Ovis aries: one gene and its partners. The protein of the gene in region 3 interacts with the protein of the main gene of each other region in a biochemical or structural test. Links are inferred from orthologs where the notes say so. Each region holds a gene or a part of one and is shown on either strand. Other genes may lie near its edges.

What was found.
Region 1: the proteins of HSPB1 (region 3) and CS form a complex in vitro, tested with the Homo sapiens proteins (2 studies listed by BioGRID). The link is inferred for Ovis aries from reciprocal best matches to the Homo sapiens genes HSPB1 and CS.
Region 2: of the proteins of HSPB1 (region 3) and MAPKAPK3, one has a biochemical effect on the other in vitro, tested with the Homo sapiens proteins (2 studies listed by BioGRID and IntAct). The link is inferred for Ovis aries from reciprocal best matches to the Homo sapiens genes HSPB1 and MAPKAPK3.
Region 4: of the proteins of HSPB1 (region 3) and MAPKAPK5, one has a biochemical effect on the other in vitro, tested with the Homo sapiens proteins (4 studies listed by BioGRID and IntAct). The link is inferred for Ovis aries from reciprocal best matches to the Homo sapiens genes HSPB1 and MAPKAPK5.
Region 5: of the proteins of HSPB1 (region 3) and MAPKAPK2, one has a biochemical effect on the other in vitro, tested with the Homo sapiens proteins (17 studies listed by BioGRID and IntAct, with this or other methods). The link is inferred for Ovis aries from reciprocal best matches to the Homo sapiens genes HSPB1 and MAPKAPK2.

What each region holds. Positions count from the first base shown.
Region 1 is NC_056056.1:163,274,540-163,278,055, forward strand, and holds part of CS (citrate synthase, mitochondrial), read left to right. Parts: intron 1-440; coding exon 441-629; intron 630-1,746; exon of another isoform or gene 1,747-2,057; coding exon of another isoform or gene 2,058-2,122; exon of another isoform or gene 2,123-3,104; coding exon of another isoform or gene 3,105-3,121; exon of another isoform or gene 3,122-3,187; coding exon of another isoform or gene 3,188-3,313; exon of another isoform or gene 3,314-3,516. UniProt on the Homo sapiens protein: Key enzyme of the Krebs tricarboxylic acid cycle which catalyzes the synthesis of citrate from acetyl coenzyme A and oxaloacetate.
Region 2 is NC_056072.1:49,765,494-49,769,009, reverse strand, and holds part of MAPKAPK3 (MAP kinase-activated protein kinase 3), read left to right. Parts: intron 1-564; coding exon 565-629; intron 630-1,042; coding exon 1,043-1,122; intron 1,123-2,942; coding exon 2,943-3,066; intron 3,067-3,516. UniProt on the Homo sapiens protein: Stress-activated serine/threonine-protein kinase involved in cytokines production, endocytosis, cell migration, chromatin remodeling and transcriptional regulation.
Region 3 is NC_056077.1:34,787,627-34,791,203, forward strand, and holds HSPB1 (heat shock protein beta-1), read left to right. Parts: upstream 1-1,457; 5' UTR 1,458-1,507; coding exon 1,508-1,859; intron 1,860-2,590; coding exon 2,591-2,654; intron 2,655-2,752; coding exon 2,753-2,942; 3' UTR 2,943-3,067; downstream 3,068-3,577. UniProt on the Homo sapiens protein: Small heat shock protein which functions as a molecular chaperone probably maintaining denatured proteins in a folding-competent state. Plays a role in stress resistance and actin organization.
Region 4 is NC_056070.1:62,409,033-62,412,548, reverse strand, and holds part of MAPKAPK5 (MAP kinase-activated protein kinase 5), read left to right. Parts: intron 1-30; coding exon 31-218; intron 219-2,396; coding exon 2,397-2,517; intron 2,518-3,516. UniProt on the Homo sapiens protein: Tumor suppressor serine/threonine-protein kinase involved in mTORC1 signaling and post-transcriptional regulation. Phosphorylates FOXO3, ERK3/MAPK6, ERK4/MAPK4, HSP27/HSPB1, p53/TP53 and RHEB.
Region 5 is NC_056065.1:4,327,899-4,331,414, forward strand, and holds part of MAPKAPK2 (MAP kinase-activated protein kinase 2), read left to right. Parts: intron 1-2,854; coding exon 2,855-2,994; intron 2,995-3,158; coding exon 3,159-3,223; intron 3,224-3,476; coding exon 3,477-3,516. UniProt on the Homo sapiens protein: Stress-activated serine/threonine-protein kinase involved in cytokine production, endocytosis, reorganization of the cytoskeleton, cell migration, cell cycle control, chromatin remodeling, DNA damage response and transcriptional regulation.

The DNA of each region.
Region 1 (3,516 bases), on a different chromosome or scaffold from region 3:
AGTTAGTCTTTTCATTTTCTTTATTTTTAATTTTTTATTTTGGTCATACCAGGCAGCTTGTAAGATCTTTGTTACCATTTTGCAAGTTACTCAGAGCCAGAGATTCAACCCAGGCTCCTAGCAGTGAGAGTGCTGAGTCCTAACCACTGGGCCACCAGGGAATACTCATTCTCTTTTTCTCTCATTTTTCTCAATTTTGGCTGTGCTGTGCCGTGCCGTGCCATGCGCAGGCTTTCTCTAGTTGTGGCACACAGGCTCTAGAGCACGTGAGCTTCTCTGTTCTCCAGCTGCAGCATGTGGGCTTTGTTGCCCGGTAACATGTCCCCTGCATTGGAAGGCAAATTCTTAACCACTGGACCACCAGGGAAGTCCCCTGTTGTCTTTTTATTTGTCTTTTTTTCCCTTGTCTAGTGTTCTGAGCGATGTCTTCCTTTTCACAGGTATCTTGGCTCTCACAGGAGTGGGCAAAGAGGGCAGCTCTGCCTTCCCATGTGGTCACCATGCTGGACAACTTTCCCACTAATCTACACCCCATGTCTCAGCTCAGTGCAGCTGTTACAGCTCTCAACAGTGAAAGTACCTTTGCCCGAGCATATTCAGAGGGTGTCAACCGAACCAAGTACTGGGAGGTAGGAAACTTTGCTGTGATGATTGATGTTTGATAGAGATTCAAAGGACCTGAGTGTGAAGAAAGAAAAAGGAATGAAGAATCCTTAGGAAAATTATTACTACCCTGAGTTATGCCACAGATTTCGTTTAACAAAATTTTATTGTAGGCTTGCTTTTTATGGGTCATTGGAATTACAAAGATAAATGAAGAATACTTTCTATCACCAAGATTATTGATTTTAGTAAGGGTTATATACACGTAAAAAAAGAATCACAGTTTAGTAATTTTGCTATAATAGAGGTATGTACACAGCACTGTAGGAATATTGAAAAAGGTGTGACTTAATTGCAGGGTCCCTGAGGAAGGTTTCGCAGAGTAGACATACCCTGGCCCCAAAAGATCCTTTCTCCTCTTCTTCAAATGAGAACCTTTTTAAGTTGGAAGAATGGCACCTAAGGCAATTCTGAAATCTAGGAAGGACCAATTGCAGTCAGCCACAGTTTGGGCTAAGCCATCCAGGTAACTGTCAGGAGTGGAAGGGTAGTTAGTATCCTGGAATGAGGATGCAAAAAGCAAATGAGCTTTATTCTCTGAAAACACTGTGACTTTCACAGTTTGAACTCTGTTGTGAAAGTATGGGAAGATTGTTGGGCCTTGTCCTAGTGTGTAGGACACACTTCCTGCCCTCCTCTTTCCAATACCTCACAAATACTGTGTAAAGTACAGTTTATCTGGCTAGGTCTACAGAAGGACATTTCTTTTTGTTTGTTTGTTTCTTATTTAGAGACAGGTAGAATAGGAATGGAAAAGTCCCTTTTGGCAAAGCAGATGCAATTAAATGATTTTTGACCAGAAGGCCCCTAAAGAGTTCACTGTGAGTTCATACTATTCATAGAATAGTATGGCCCACTTGTCTGATGAAATCTCCTTGGGGTTTTGGCAAATCCCACTCCATTTGATTGGTCAGTGTTTACTCAGTACCAGCTGTGTATACAGAATTGAGTGCTGTTGAGGGAAAGAGGGAGAGAAGGTTTACAATTGACACTAGTCTGGTTGGCTTTGAGGAGAAAGGTATAGGAATGATGCAGACTAAACATCTCCACAAGGGTTTATTTATGAAGTCACAAATCAGCAGATTCAGAAGGCTGTATAACCTGAATTTATTGCTTTTCATTTTCTTTTTAAAATGCTGTTTCAAGTCATTGTTATCTGTGTGGGTCACCATAACAGAAAAGGTTAAATCAAGCCCAGGATTTCTCTTAAAACTTGTTTGTTAGAAACTGACCACTCAGGAGTGCCTGTTACTACTTATGATGCTGTTGCCTTGACGATTGTAGAGTTCTTCATGCTAAGATATTTCCCAGGTATCCTTCCAGGCTGCGTTGCTTCACACTGTCCTTTACTGAATCAGGAAGATGAATGTTCTCTGCTTGCTCTTGCCTCCGATTCAGTGTACAGGTATTGGTTGGTTGTTCTGCCACCTCTTGGGAGATGTCATTTGAGGGTGGCTGTCTTGAGGTAAAGATTGTATTTCAGGACTTTATCAACCTGGAGACTATTTATAAGCATTACGGATAAACCCGTCAGCCTCAGGGTGTGTGTCTAATAAAAGTTCATACTGAACAAAAGTTAGCTCGAGTAATTGCTCTAGTGGAACTTGGTGCCGTTTTGCTGCCACGTCTTGTATCTCTCTCAAAGGTCACTGAAGCACTGTTTCAATTTAGTTCTCTCGCTTAATTTAACCATTCTGCTTAAGTAGAGTTACATGACAGCATTCACCTGGTTATTTCTGTTTAAAAGTTTATGTTAAAGAGTACATGTGATCTAAGTCTCTTCTAGAATTATCACTTCATGCTGTTTTACATATATCTCAAGAGGATGATCTGCCTACAGCTTTCCTTCCATAGCAGTTTACATGACTTTAGGTCTTTTTGTAATTGACTTAACTTCACTTGTGACTAGGAGATTACTCTGCACAAGCTGTTTAACTGTGAGGTAGCCTTAAGATACTGTTGGATTGGGTAAAATTTGCAAAGTAGCTGACAGATCAGGTTTTTCTAGTAAGGCCTATGAACAATATGTGTAGGGTTTGACGCTGTTTATAGTAAAGTCATCATTCCAACACCTAACAAACAGCTCTTGAAAGCATCAGCTTGAATGCTTATACTCATCTGATTTAATCATCAGAACAACCCCATGGGGTAGACCTTACTGTTTATTCTCATTTTACTGAATGGCAAGGTTGAAGATGAGAGAAATAAAGTAGCATGCCCAGGGTCATGCAGCTAGTAGCTGGTGGAGACCAGGTTGAGAATTGAGTTTGCAAATGGCAACCCACTCCAGTACTCTTGTCTGGAGATTCCCAGGGATGGGGGAGCCTGGTGGGCTGCCGTCTGTGGGGTTGCACAGAGTTGGACACGGCTGAAGTGACTTAGCAGTAGCAGCAGCAGGGTCTCTTCACCATTAGTACTGACTCTTCGTTTTCTGTGTCTTCTTAATAATGATTGATAGCTATTAGTAATACAACATTGTAAATCAGCTATACTCCAATAAAATTTTTTTAAAAATGATTGCTTGCTAAATACTTGGCCAGAATTTCTCTAGCCCTAGAGATGCTGGGTCACAGTGATGATTGTGGCCAGTTGTGTTACCTTTATTCCAGGCAGTTGTGGTGGTGGCATGTTTTGTCCTTTTTTTTTTTTTCTGAGGGTTTAAAGATGAAGAATGAGTTAGTACCAGTAGCTAAGTAGCACCTCAGTCTTATTTATTAGCTTATTAAAGAAGAAATAAGGAGTTCTCTGTCAGTGTGTTTATCTATTGAATCTCTTGACAGTACAGCTTTCCCACTACAAAAAGCAGGGTAAAGATCCCACACTGTCAGACCTGGTCTGATACTAGCTGCTTCA
Region 2 (3,516 bases), on a different chromosome or scaffold from region 3:
CTCTGGATCGCTGTAACTTCCATGTAGAGTGTGGAGGGAGATCTTAGTGCGGCATTCACCCTGTTCATTCTAAGTGCTCTAAGTACTGCCGAATCAGTCTTCCCAACTCTGTGAGGCTGGTGCGCTAATCCCTGTTTTACAGAAGAGGAAGCTGAGGCACAGAAAGGTGAAGGGACCCACCCAGGATCACACAGCAGTGCCACAAAGGGTTTGCCCAGGGCATGGCACACAGTGGGTGCTCAGAAGACAGTGGTCATGAGGATGATAACTGACATCTCATTCCTCACTTGGGTAAACTTGGATAAAAGTGGGGCTGCCAGATCAAGACAGTGTCCCTGGGAACATAGATGCTCCCTGGGGAAGATCCTCCCCTAGTTCGAAGAGTTGAGTTCAACCCACCGAAGCCGACAGCCTACCACGCACCAGGCTCTTCAAGAAACAGTGAGGCTGACAGTGGCCATTCCCCAGGGGAAGAGCAGCAGGGCTGGAGGCCTGGGCCCATGACGCGGGGCAGGGGCAGGTCGACCCCTGATCCTCCCCCTCTGTCCCTGCTTTCTCTGGCAGCATGGAAGGTGGTGAATTGTTCAGCAGGATTCAGGAGCGTGGCGACCAGGCTTTCACTGAAAGAGGTATGTATGTGCCGCTGCACAGGGAGTTTGGGCCGAGATGGGGCACACAGAGTTTCTCTGTGACGCTGGGCAAGGCCCTGTCCCTCTCTGTGCCTCAGTTTCCCAACTTGAACAAGGGTAGGGGGAGATGTTCTTCCCCCAAGGGGTTCTGTGAGTCTGTGGCAGCTTGTCAGAGATAGACTCCCCATGGGCCTGGGATGGAGGCCTCAATGCTTCTTGGTGCCAGCCCGCAGCTGAGCTGGGGGCATCTCCAGAAGAAACTAGGGGGACCAGTGTTGGGCTCTGAGGTGGGGTCCTGGGTGGCAGGAGTGCACCATCTTGTGCTCTCCCAAGAGGGGTGATGGGGAGGGGGCCCCTGGGCTGCCTGACCCTCGAGAGGCATCCGTGGCCCCCTCCTCTGTCCATGTCTGCAGAAGCCGCAGAGATCATGCGGGATATTGGCACTGCCATCCAGTTTCTGCACAGCCGGAACATCGCCCACCGAGATGTCAAGGTGAGGCTCCAGGACCCATGTTGGGGGACCAGGACAAAGAGTGCCATCCACAAACCCCAGAAGTCCCAGCATCCACTGGATGGAGGCCACGTTCCTTGCTTGGCATTCCAGGCCTCTCCCCGCGGCCCATACTGCATGGCTCAGCCTCTCCTCCCACGGTCCCAGCGTGTTCACTGTGCTCTAGCCAGATAGGCCTCCTTGTTTCCTTCAAGCGTATATAATCCCAGTAGGCATAAGAATAAACTAGTGCCCACCTTGAGCCACTGGGTCCTGAGAAGCATCTCGTTTAATCCTCACCCAGCCCTGTGAGAGGGTGCCATTACCCATTTGACAGATGAGGAAACCGAGGCTCAGAGAGTGATTGTCTTGCTCAAGCCTCTGCAGATGCTGCACTGTCGTTTTGCTCAAGGCTCTGCAGGTGCCTCCCTGGGGATTCATGCATTCATTTGTTCACTCAGCAAGAATTTTGTGAAGACAGTGTGCCAGGCTTCGGTGACAGGGCTGCCCAACACTGTTGGAGCTTGTGTGAAGTAACAGCCATAGTTCCCGTAGGCAGAGCCCTCTGATGGCAGCATTTTAGGGGAAGGAGGCCCTTTGCTGGCCACTGGACAAAGGAGCGGAGGTGATCCTAGTGGCTGGACCTGCTTGTCCCTCCAGTGGACGGGCTTGAGAATGTTCTCTCCAAATTTCCTGTCCAGGGAGGACTGGATCTTACAGGTGATTAGGATCAGATGGAAGAAATGCAAACCAAGGCTTCACATGCACACACACACTCACCTGCCTGTGCCAGCCACTGTCAGAGCAGAATTACAACTCCTGGGCCCTCGGCCTCCCACCTAGACCCTGACTGTCCCGCCCCCCAGACTTATTTCCTCCTAAGACCGGACAGAGGAGACCCGAAGGTCCAGCCGCTGTATCAGATTCTTCCTCTGGCTGAGTATCACCAACTCGTGCGGTTACCCTTTGATCTTGGATACACATGGAGCCACAACAGTCTCACCTTCTGAACCATTGCTTTATTTTGGCCCTGGCCTCCTTTTTTTCCCCTTAAGTGGAGAAAAGCCTTCTATGGAGAAGATTCCTATAGAAAAACTGCTTCCCTGTTTTTCACCCCAGTCCAAGTTTGGATCATCTCAAATAGAACCTGAGAAATAGCTTTCACTGGCTCCAAACTGAAATTCCATGTGCCACCCCATCCCTCTGCCCCAGCTCTGCTGCTTCTCTCCATGGGCCTAGGTCCTACCCATTCATTAGGAAGCAGCTTGAGGGCTGCCTCCTCCATGCAGACCTCCCCACTGCCTTCATCCCTCAGACCCTCTGTGCCCTACAACCAGGAAGACTGGCCTCTGTGCAGCTCCCAGGGCTGAGTTCCCCGAGCAGCGTCAGGTAGGGGCCTGTCATGCAGGCTCGTTCTGGGCTGGGTACAGGATGTGTGCTTGGCAGCACTGGCTCATGAGCAGCCCCCCATTTCCCTGGAACCCTCATTTTGGCATCTCATGGCAGCATCACCGACTGAAGCTCAGAAGTTCCTGCCCCTGGGCTCTCTGTGGCACTCAGTTATCCCCAGGCTTGGTGGAACCACTGCCTTAGTTTCCCCCCTGTGAAACAAGGTGTCACCTCTCAGCTACGTTAGTCTCTTCCACCTTTGGCCCATGTCATTGGCGGCCAAGACCCAGGTCTTTTTTAGTGAGATGGATCCGGCTCCTCCTGCCTCAATCTGGATGAGGGAGGGAGGAAGGAAATCTGACTGCAGATCACCGTGGAAATCTGCCCCCACCTGGTGCCTGAGTCCAGACTAACGTTTTCTCTCCCTGGCCCAGCCTGAAAACCTGCTCTACACGTCCAAGGATAAAGATGCGGTGCTGAAGCTCACGGACTTTGGCTTTGCCAAAGAGACCACCCAGAATGCCCTGCAAACTCCATGTTACACTCCCTACTATGTGGGTGAGTCCCTGGGATGTGGCCGGTACCTCTTTATTGCACCCCGCCCCCCACCCCCACCCCACTGTGGTCTGGGGCAGCTTGTGGGACACAGAAGCCAAAGAGTTAAAGCGCTGTGAGGAGGGAGGGGAGGGTTCTGTCTGTGTGGAGGTGGCAGCTGGGGGGCCGGAGGCTGCAAAAATATTCTCCCAAACTTCAGTTTTTGCTCTTGAAAATAGATCCAGGAAAATTCTGGCTCTGGCCTGTGAGCTGAATGACATCACAGTGGCTCTAAATATATATGTGATAAAAGGCTGCCGTCGGCTTGGGATGGAGCCCAAGTGCGGTTGTTTTTCTCCGGTTTTTATCTTCCTGGGAGTCATATTCAGAAAGTGGGCAGGCGCGTCCTCCTACACGAGAGGGAAGCAAGGGGCCAGCCACCTGTGTTTTGGGAAAGCGTCCCTTAGGTGAGGG
Region 3 (3,577 bases):
GGGGGGGCAGCAAGCAGAGTGTGTCTCGGGAGAAGAGAAAACAAGAGGAGTCCAAGGTGGGAGCTTGACCAGGGGAAGAGCCCTGAGCACTAGAGATGAGAGCCTTCCTCTGCTAGTGGCTTACGGGAGACTGTAGGCCCATCACCTCATCTCCAAACCTGTTTCCTCATTGAAAAAGGAGGGATACAGGACACATGTCAGGAGAAGGAAGGCAGGAGAGAGAGATTGTTAGGATTATGGCAGGAAGCTAGGGGCAGCATCTTTTCCCAGAGCGGGTAGTGGGGGCGTGGATCTCACAGGCGGTCAGATCGGAGGAGGGGCCGGCCTCAGGCTCCAAGCAAGTTTGAAGGAATTGCCCCCTCTCCGTCTGCGGGAATATTCAACAGAACAGGATCGAGGTAATAACCTGCCAACAGGGAAAGGAGCATTGGCCCAAATCACACAAACAGCAAAGCCCTGACTAGATTCAAGGTTGCTGCATTTCAAGTTCCCCTGTCTAGGGCTCCTCCAGAAAACTAGATATAATGGGGAGACTTGACCATAACCTTCTTCCTGACCCCTTCTCAGTACTGGCCCTCAAGGTTTGTGATCTGAGTCTACTCCACTGGGGTTCAGTGGGCAAATGGCCAAACCTACACATACCATTGCCTCTGCAACAGGGACACATACATGCTTTCCTTCTTGCCCCCTCCTTCAACTTCAGGGGCTAATAATAATTATAGATAATATATTATCTATATATATTATCTATATATAAATATAGATAATATATTCATTATCGTGTACCCTGGACTAAAATGTTTACTTGCATTGAGGCTGAATCTTCAAACCAACCTAGCGATGAAAGCATTATCATCACCACCATCATCCCATTTTCCCGATGGGGAAACTGAGGCAAAAGACTCTGAACTTGCACAAGTTCATCCAGTGAGTGGCAGAACCTGCATGTGAACTCAGGCGGTCTACCTCCCGAGACCGCCCTAACCACGCTGCTTCTTAAGGCATTATATCACAGACACACTGCCTTCCAAATCCTGGCTCGCTCTGCCAGTTCCTAGTTGTGCGCCCTGGGACTCACTGCTCGACCTCTCTCTCTCCCCTTGGGACTCACTGCTCGACCTCTTTCTCTCTTTCTCTCTCTCCCTCTCGGCTTTGTCCTCCCCGACTGTCCACAGATAGAGGCCCAGCGCTTTAGCACCCAGGCCTCCGAGCGTCCAGCAGTGGGCAGTGCTCCGACATCGAGGCTCTAGTCATTTGTTTTCTCGAACAAGAGAAGGTTCCAGATGTGGGCAGGGCCTTCCTCGCCCCGCCCCGCGCCCCGGTATGCAGTGGAGGGGAATGCAGGGGGAGGGGCTGCCCCCTGGCCCGTCATTGCCATTAATAGAGACCTGAAACACCGCCTGCTAAAAATACCCGGCTGGAGACCCATAAAAGCGCTACGGGGTCCGGCGCCCGCCACTTCTCCCGCTTCTCCGAGCCTACTCCGGACGCACCCAGACTAGCCAGCATGGCCGAGCGCCGAGTGCCCTTCTCGCTCCTAAGGGGCCCCAGCTGGGACCCTTTCCGCGACTGGTATCCGGCCCACAGCCGCCTCTTCGACCAGGCCTTCGGGCTGCCCCGGCTGCCCGAGGAGTGGTCGCAGTGGCTGAGCCACAGCGGATGGCCGGGCTACGTGCGCCCGCTGCCCGCCGCAGCGATCGAGGGTCCCGCCTACAGCCGCGCGCTCAGCCGACAGCTCAGCAGCGGGGTCTCCGAGATCCAGCAGACCGCCGACCGCTGGCGCGTGTCCCTGGACGTCAACCACTTCGCCCCCGAGGAGCTGACGGTCAAGACCAAGGACGGCGTGGTGGAGATCACTGGTAAGCACCCCCTGGCCCCCGCCCCAGGGACGCCGGCCCCTCGCCTCTCGCGGGTCCCGGGGAAGAGCTCTGGGTTGAAACATGGGCGGGGAGCCGGGAGAGGGGGCCGCTGGAAAGTGAAAACTTAGCCGAGGACGGGCGGTGGGGGGGAAGGCGGGGAGCCCCCAGAGCGGGGCCCGGCCTCTTCGCCCTAGCCCTGGTCTGTATTCTCTGGAGTTGGGGTTTGCTGGAGTTCCTAAGGGATCTTTTAGCCCTAAAAAGTCTCCACTAAGGAAAGCAACGCCCCCTTCCAGCGGAGACTCCCCTCAACCCCAGCCCTCGGACCTGAGGACCTGGCCCCCAAGGGACCAGGCCCCCCCGCCACGCCCCACCCACCCGGGCCCGCAGTCGGTATGAAGAGGGCGTCGCCCTCGCCGCCCTGCCCCCCATGCCCCCCACGTCACGGTCCCTGCTCCCAGCCCGGGTCCGCGGAGGGGGCGTGTGCGCCTGCCCCGAGCCGCGCTTCCACCCCCACCCCCCACTCGCCAAGCCCCTGAACCCGAACTTTCCAAAAGCTTCTGAGTTCCCCAAAGCTTCTGAGTTCCCGGGACAGTCTCGGGCACCCAGATCCCTCCGTCAGTCTTGCCAGCCCGGAGTCCTGGCCCGCAGGTGGGGCGCGCTGGGCTGCGAGCCAGCGGCTAGGCCGCCCCTCCCCGCCTCCTCTGACCTACTTCCCCTCCCCCTCCTCCCAGGCAAACACGAGGAAAGGCAGGACGAGCACGGCTACATTTCCCGTTGCTTCACTCGCAAATACACGTGAGTCCTGGCTCCGGATCTGGGGGGCGGCGGGCGGGAGAGGGGCGCGCGGGGACGCCCTGGTGTGTAACTCTTGTCCACCCTCTTTGCCCGTCCAGGCTGCCCCCCGGTGTGGATCCCACCCTGGTCTCCTCCTCTCTGTCCCCTGAGGGCACACTCACCGTGGAGGCCCCGTTGCCCAAGTCAGCTACCCAGTCTGCCGAGATCACCATTCCCGTCACCTTCCAGGCGCGTGCCCAGCTTGGCGGCCCCGAAGCCGGAAAGTCCGAACAGCCGGCAAACAAGTAAAGGCCCTTTGCCCAGCGGCCCACCCCACAAGTAGCCATCACTGACCATCCTCACCCGCCAAACCTCTATGTTCTTTTGATACGTTTGCCTTCTGTTTTTCTCAAATAAAGTTTGAAGCCACTGCCCGCCACTGCCTCAGACCCTGCTGGTTTTGTGAAGGAAGAAGGGTTGGTGCTGGTTTGATGTTTGCTGAGGGCCCGCTGGGCACCAAGCCCCAGGCTGGGTCCTGTGGGTGCAGTATCATCTGTCACTGGGCACAGCCCTGCCCTCCTGTACCCCTTGTTCATTAAGAGAGAAGCAGTGATTGTTCACCGGAGTTAAAACGCCCAGGGCTGGAGGGGGAGCAGGGGAAATTATGAGAGGCACTTGACCCAGGCTTGGGCACTCAGGAACCACCTGGGCAAGGGGGCAGGTGAGGGAAGACAGGGCAGGGCTGGGGGAGAGGGCTTCCTGGGAGCTCAGATTCCTGACTTCATCGTAGAGGGTTTGGACCAGGTAGATTGGAGGGGAGGTGTGGCCACCCCTGGCGGCTTTCTGAGGGGCGATTCCCCCAGCCCAGCCCATGTAGGCAGCACGGGACCTGGGTCCTCAGGTCTGAGAGTGCCCCGCAGAGAGTGATGAGCAGGTGTGGCTTA
Region 4 (3,516 bases), on a different chromosome or scaffold from region 3:
TATGAGTGACCATTTTCTTTTTGCTTTCAGAGCTGTGACTTGTGGTCCCTAGGGGTGATTATCTATGTGATGTTGTGCGGATACCCTCCTTTTTACTCCAAACACCATAGCCGGACTATCCCAAAGGATATGCGGAGAAAAATCATGACAGGCAGTTTTGAGTTCCCGGAGGAAGAGTGGAGCCAGATCTCAGAGATGGCCAAAGATGTTGTGAGAAAGTGAGTCTCTGGGCCACTGGGTGGGGCCCTTAAAAGTGGTGGAATGCAAAGCAATGTTGGGTAGAGAAAATTCTTTGTTTTGCAGGCATGTACCTTCTCATTTTTATCATCACAGAAAATCTGTCCTGGAGTCTGAAATGAGAGTTCTCAGTATCCACATCTCGGTGAAATTGGAGCTGTACTCCCTCCTGTTGCATTCCTAGAATTTGTCCCTAGGGTTGAATCCAGGTCCCTTGGTAGCCACTGTATCCGTTAGCATTAATTCAGACTTTAAATGGTAACCCCCGGTGCATCCTTCCTGCACGGAGGCCAGTCGTTTGGCACTGACATGATGCCGGAAGCTGAACTAGGGTGCCGGAATGGCCACGACGCTTTTGTCCTTTCCTCCCTTAGCTACTGTGGGAGTGTGACTGGTTGTCCAGGACCTCAATCCCACCCTGGCCTCCCTGCTGCTAGTTGGTTGCTCTGACATATAGAGATAGAAAGGTTCAAAAGGACTAGGGCTAAGTGAGTGGATGAGGGACACATGACATTCAGAGTCCTTTGTTTCTTACAGAGCAGCGCACAGCTGTGATGTGAGGCGCGAGTGGCCACAGCGGCAGGCTCCCTGGGCCGCCTTCCTCAGGCGGACACTGTTCTGTCCTGCTGTTCAGGAGGGGCTTGGGTTGAGGCCTCTGTGGACCCAGTTTCTGAGGCAGGTGGAACTGCGTTTAATTAAGATAGGAGTCTGTTATTAATAAGCATGCTCTGACTACAGGCCATGAAATCACCTGAAACCTACAGACATGGTAGTGCCTTTCAACATATCTTCCCCAAGAATGACCTCACACATGGGCACGTGCTCCAGCTCCTTAGCTGAAGTTACTAAGAAGTCAGGCCTACATAGGAGGTGTGCTCGGTTTTTCTGCCCACCTGTGCCAGGGGATCTGCTGCCTGGGACTTATGCGCTCTTCTGACATTACTACTTTGCTCTTCACTGAGTAATTGCTCCTCTTGATTTCAGTTTCTTCATCTGTAATGTGATAAAGATAAGCATTAAAGGGGCAGTACCTGGGAACTGTCTCCTAATAGTACAGCTATTTCTCTATGCAGATTACTCTCTTTCAGAAGTGAACTTGTCCTGTTGGTTAGGTATTCATGTACATAAAAAGGGATTCATTTCTTAAGTATCCAAGTGAACGTGTTTTAGGAGGGTGGAGGCAATTTGAAATCTGTCTTCCCATGTTCTTTCCATGCTGTATTCTCAGCTACTTAACCAAAACATCGATATCCTCTAAGTGGTTCTCTGCAGTTCTATAGAGTGTATTTCCCCTGTCACTAGAGTAACATTGATTATCTTCTCTCAGCATTGAGGGTCTTTTCTAAATAATCCTTTCTTTAGAATCTGAAGCTGTTCACAATGATCCAGAAAGTTACAGAGAACATGAAAGAGCAAGTAGGCACGTTGTCCTGACTGATGTTTGGAATGGGAGGCTATGTATTTGGAAGGAGTGCTGTAAAAGGTCCAGGGAATATGCTGGGGTAAGCTAGGAATTGCATCGGTATGAATGTACAAGATGAAAAGAACTGTGGTCAAAAGCTGATGGTATAGACAATACATTAGGCTTAGAAAGAAATGCTGTTCCCTTCTCAGATATTAGATTTTTAGCTTAGAATGTCTTCGGAGAAATGGCTCAGGGTTCGTGTGCTGCCATATGGTGCTATCTAAAAGTTTTATCACAAGTAGCAATCTGGATTTTCAGAACTGTATGATCGCTTAACTAATTTTACAGCCACTGTTGGCCAAAAGAGTACTTTGAGTCCCTTCTGGAAATTATAGCCCACTGTCCTAGAAACATTAGTCTGGGGATTCAGTGTCTCAGGAACTGTGAGCCATATGTAAGATTGATTACCTTACTGAACCTAGAACTCAGTCTGAGGTATCACTGGATTAAGCCTTTTCCTACCATTTTTAATCTCAATTTATTTAGTAGAGAAAGGACTGCCTAAGGACACAGCGCCCTCACAACTAACAGTTAGGGAAGAGAATCTCACCTCTGTCCTGCAGAAAGCCTAGGCTGTAAGAGTTGGCAGAAAGTAGAAAGTCAGAAGCTGGAGCTGACTAGAGCCAGGCTCGGGAACTTTATGGCCTTCTGGAAGCAACTGTGCATGGCAGCCCTTTTGGCCTTTTCTCCACAGGCTCTTGAAGGTCAAACCAGAGGAAAGACTTACCATCGAGGGAGTGCTGGACCACCCCTGGCTCAACTCAACTGAGGCCCTGGATAATGTGCTACCCTCTGCTCAACTGATGATGGATAAGGTTCTGAATGATGCTTATGTTGTTGGCCAAAATGGTGGTGTTGGGAAGGAATGCTGGGGCTTGACTCAGTGAGGGGGTTAAAGGCAAAACAATGCAGAGCGCACTGTCTTTCCCAGAGAAACATCTCTGGTCTCCTGAAGATCAGGATTGGAAACAAGGAGCTTCCTTCCATAAAGACCAGATCAAAGCCTGGTACATACACTAAGGGAACATTCAAAGTATCCTCTTCCACATTTGTGCTGTGGGGTTGAGGCAGAGAGCAGTATCAGACATCAACCATCCTTTTGCCCAAGGGGTTTAAATAAGACTGGTTAGAAACACCAATAAATACAAAACAAAGAGGGAATACTCTCAGACATCAGAGCTTTTGCATGCTAAATTTTCTGTGAATTCTTATGGGAATTCAGAAAAAGAAGACATCTTTGAAGGGCTGTAATTAGGGAAGGGTTCCCAAAGAGAAGGCAAAACCCATCACAGTTACTAACTATTGTGTGGCACTTTTAAACCCCTTTACATGTTTAGCTGTGAGCTGGCCTTGGAAGAACTGGAGTAGAGAGCACATGTGCCCACATATTATGGACAACATGAGCGAAAAATTAGAGGCTGAAATCCATCAGTGGGAAAAACAGCCTGATTTCATTAATGGGAAGTTGGTGAAATGGGTGTGATAGGGAAGGGCCTGGCTTTGAAAGTAGACAGAGGGGTGTAAGTCTTAGTAGGACCTAATTGAGAGGCTCGTACAGATTTCTGAGAAGAGTTCTGCTACAGGGAAGATATTTAGGGTAGGGATGGTTAGTCAGACTTGCAGACTCACCAATCTAATACTACTACAGTAATCTAGAAGCTGGAAAGCTGCACTAGGAGCAGAGAGGTAGAGATGAATGAATAGGCTCAATATTTTTGAAGACAAATTTCAACAATTTTTGGTGACTGACTAGAGATAAGGGGACAGTGAGTGGCATATCTGGTGATACCACTGACAGGGAAATCAGAAATGAG
Region 5 (3,516 bases), on a different chromosome or scaffold from region 3:
CTGCCAGCTACGGAGTGAACTGTGTGCAAATCTGAAGGCGGAATGTGAACCCAGGCTTCCTGGCTGCACGTTCTCTTTTGCCTGATGCCCCACACGTTGCTGTGTCTGAGGTAAAGAGAGCAGGCAGATCCTGCAATGTGTACTCTGAGTTTAGGAGGGGCTGGGGGGCGTGCACGTGGGTTTGGGCCTTGGTGTGTGCTCACTTAGAGAAGAAAATGGCAACCCACTCCAGTGTTCTTGCCTAGAGAGTCCTGTGGACGGAGGAGCCTGGTGGGCTGCTGTCTCTGGGGTCGCACAGAGTCGGACATGACTGAAGCGACTTAGCAGCAGCAGCAGTAGCAGCGTGCTCACTTAGCACAGCTGTGGAAAGTTTGAGCAGAGCTGGTTTCTAGGCGGTGGTCATGGGGCTGCAGACGCAAACCCAGCCTATGGTCTTGCTGGTGACTTGTAACATCAGGGTTTGTCGGTTATATCAGGGTGTTCCAGCCTCACTCAGAGGTGACTGAGAGGGCCCCTGTGCTGTGGCAGCTACACTGATGGCTTGCAGAGGTGAGCGCCTTTCTGATAACAAAGTGTGCTCAGAGGTTCTTTCATTAGAAGCTTGCAGTGGCTCTGTGAGGGAGGGAGGCAGATATTGTAACCCCTGACTCGCAGATGTGGAGCAGGCTCAAAAGGTGACGGTCTCTCCAAGGCTGTGCAACCAGAAATGGACAGATTTCAGACCCAGGCCCAAGTGCCTCCTAACTGCAGATCCTTGACCTCCTGTTGCCTCTGAGTGACTGTGACAGCTTGGGCTTCAGCACTGTGTGCCTGTAGAGGGCGACAGAGGTCTTTCTTTTGGGGCTGCGGGGAGAACTCTTTCTCTTGAACTCTGAATTTAGCAGTCTCACAGCAGCTTCTCACTGGGTTATAAGCATTTTCTGTGTGGCAGCCTTCGCTCACACCCCTTCCCCCAGTTTGAGTTTTTTCAGGTCGTTCAGTTGCTCAGTCGTGTCTGACTCTTTGCGACCTCATGGACTGCAGCCCATCAGGCTTCCCTGTCCTTCACCATCTCCCGGAATTTGCTCAAACTCATGTCCAATGATGCCGTCCAACTGTCTCTTTCAGACTGGGACTCTCTGGTTTTCACATCTAGCACAACGTGTGGTCCATAGTAGGAGCTCTGTAAATGCTTGTTGAATTGAAATACTTTCAAATGAGATTGGCCAGAGTCTCTTCCTCCTTTTCATAGGGTGTGGGAAGGGAAAATAACCTTTTTGAATGAATGAAGTTGAAGGGAGCAAACTCAGGATCTGTGCAGTGTCCCTATACTGCCACCAGGTGGCAGTGTGACCTCATGGTGACTGCTCCCTAGGAGACTGAATTATCTGGGCACCTGTTGGGGGTTGTGTCTCTGAAACCAGTTTGCATTTGGTGATCTGAGACTAACAAGTCTTGGCTTCCACCCCTCCTCTAAAAGTTGCATGGTATCGTGGAAAAGGTTTAGGCTTCGGAATCCACATGGCCTGGATTCCAGCCCTGGCTTCCCCCAGGAAATGAGCCTGGGACACGTTGCTTCTGTGAGCCTCAATTTCCTCAGCCTGTAAAACGGGCAGCAGTTGTACAGTAAGGCAAAGCCCAGCGTGTCATAGACCACAGCATAACTGAATGTTAGCTTTATTGTTGGGAGCACCTGTTTGCCTTTCCCCTTCCTGTGTAATCGGGCTCCTCTCTGGCCATCTGATCTTCTTCACCAAGACTCGTGCGCTTCCCAGCAGGTGTCTTAGTGCTCCGCTGTGCCACCCCCACCTCAGGGTAGCCCCTGGTACCAGAGTGACTGTCCTGGCACCAGGTGCCATGCGCAGGAGACATGCCGCTTTCTCTGCCCCTTTCCAGAGGCCTCTGCAGACTTGCTGCAGAGTGCTACCTGACCAGTGTTGGGTCTTAGTAAACGGCTTGGGATTAATGAAACCGGCTTAGACTAGTCAAATCTCGGCCTTGGACGCAGGTAAGGGAGCCAGGCTCCTTTAATACCTTGGCCACCTGGTCCCTGAAAGAAGAGGGGTTGGGAACAAGGCTCATGTTAAGTGACTTGCTCCAGGTTGGGGATCTATTAAGAACCAGGAGTTAGATCACACTGGCTGGCTCCTGAGGCTATTTGCTGTTGAAAGGATATGGCTGTGGATTTGGTGTGCTGGGTTCAGGGATCTTAGAGCTTCCTTTCCCGACAGATCTGGAGGCTCCCCTCTCTAGGCCCCTTTCTGCGGTTATCTGGATGTTCGTCAGTCTTTCTTCCCACCCAGGCATCCTGTACTCTCCGCCTCCCAGTGCTCAGCCCTGCCTGCCTTTTGGAGTAGACTTCATGCCTTTAGCTGGGGAGAGGACCAACCGTCTTTCCCTACGTGGTCAAGGGTGGTCTCCAGTCAGCTGTGGAGACCTCACAAGGGGTCACCCTGAAGTTTCTTTTAGAGCAGAAAAGAGAGCTGCAGGGCCCCAAGTCAGGCTTGGGAGGGGGTGCAGGGCTGTGACAAGAGGGCTGGTGCTGGGCTGGGTAGGGGGTGGATGGGCTGGGGCAGAGGACTTGATGGACCAGGGCAGGGGCCGTTGATGGACCGGGGCAGGGGCTGTTGATGGACCGGGGCAGGGGACTTGATGGGCTGGGGCGGGGGTTGGGCGGACCGGGGTTGGCAGGTGGATGGCAGGGTGGGGCGTCAATGGGCTGGGGCAGGGGACTTGATGGGCCGGGGCGGGCGGGGTGCAGATGTGGGGGCAGGGTTCAGTGGCGTGCCGGTGAGGGCTGACGGGCACATGGGCCGGGTCAGGGGAGGTGCAGGCGGGGCAGCCCCCGTGCTCCCTCAGGAGGTCTGGCTTGCAGATGCTGCAGGACTGCCCCAAGGCCCGCCGCGAGGTGGAGCTGCACTGGCGCGCCTCGCAGTGCCCGCACATCGTGCGCATCGTGGACGTCTACGAGAACCTGTACGCGGGGCGGAAGTGCCTGCTGATCGTCATGGAGTGGTGAGCAGCCCGACCCTGCTCCCCGCCCGGTCCCCTTTCCTTCCCAGGACTGCAGGCTGGGGGCGCTGAAACTCAGCATGCAAGCACCTCGTTCTTCTTGGAGGGTAGTGGCTTGCGCGCTAGTGCGATGTCACGGCCTCAGTCTAACTGTGGCTTTGTTTCAGTTTGGATGGCGGAGAACTGTTCAGTCGAATCCAGGACCGAGGAGACCAAGCCTTCACGGAAAGAGGTAGAAAGGGTCTGTCGCGGGCCCAGCTGGGCGGCGGGGCAGCGGGGCTCCAGGGGCCTGCTCCCAGGGAGGTGCTCAGGCCCGCTGCCCACCTGCTGCTGGGGCTCTGCCCGCTCCTGCACCTCGCCTTCTGGGGTGGGTGGGGGCGTCAGGGGCCTTAGGCTTCCCGGGAGGGCTCTTGCCTCAGCTTTTCAAACCTAAGGACGCATCTTGTGACTTGGCTTCTGGCTCCCTGCTCCCGTCTCCTCCGCAGAGGCTTCAGAGATCATGAAGAGCATCGGCGAGGCCATCCA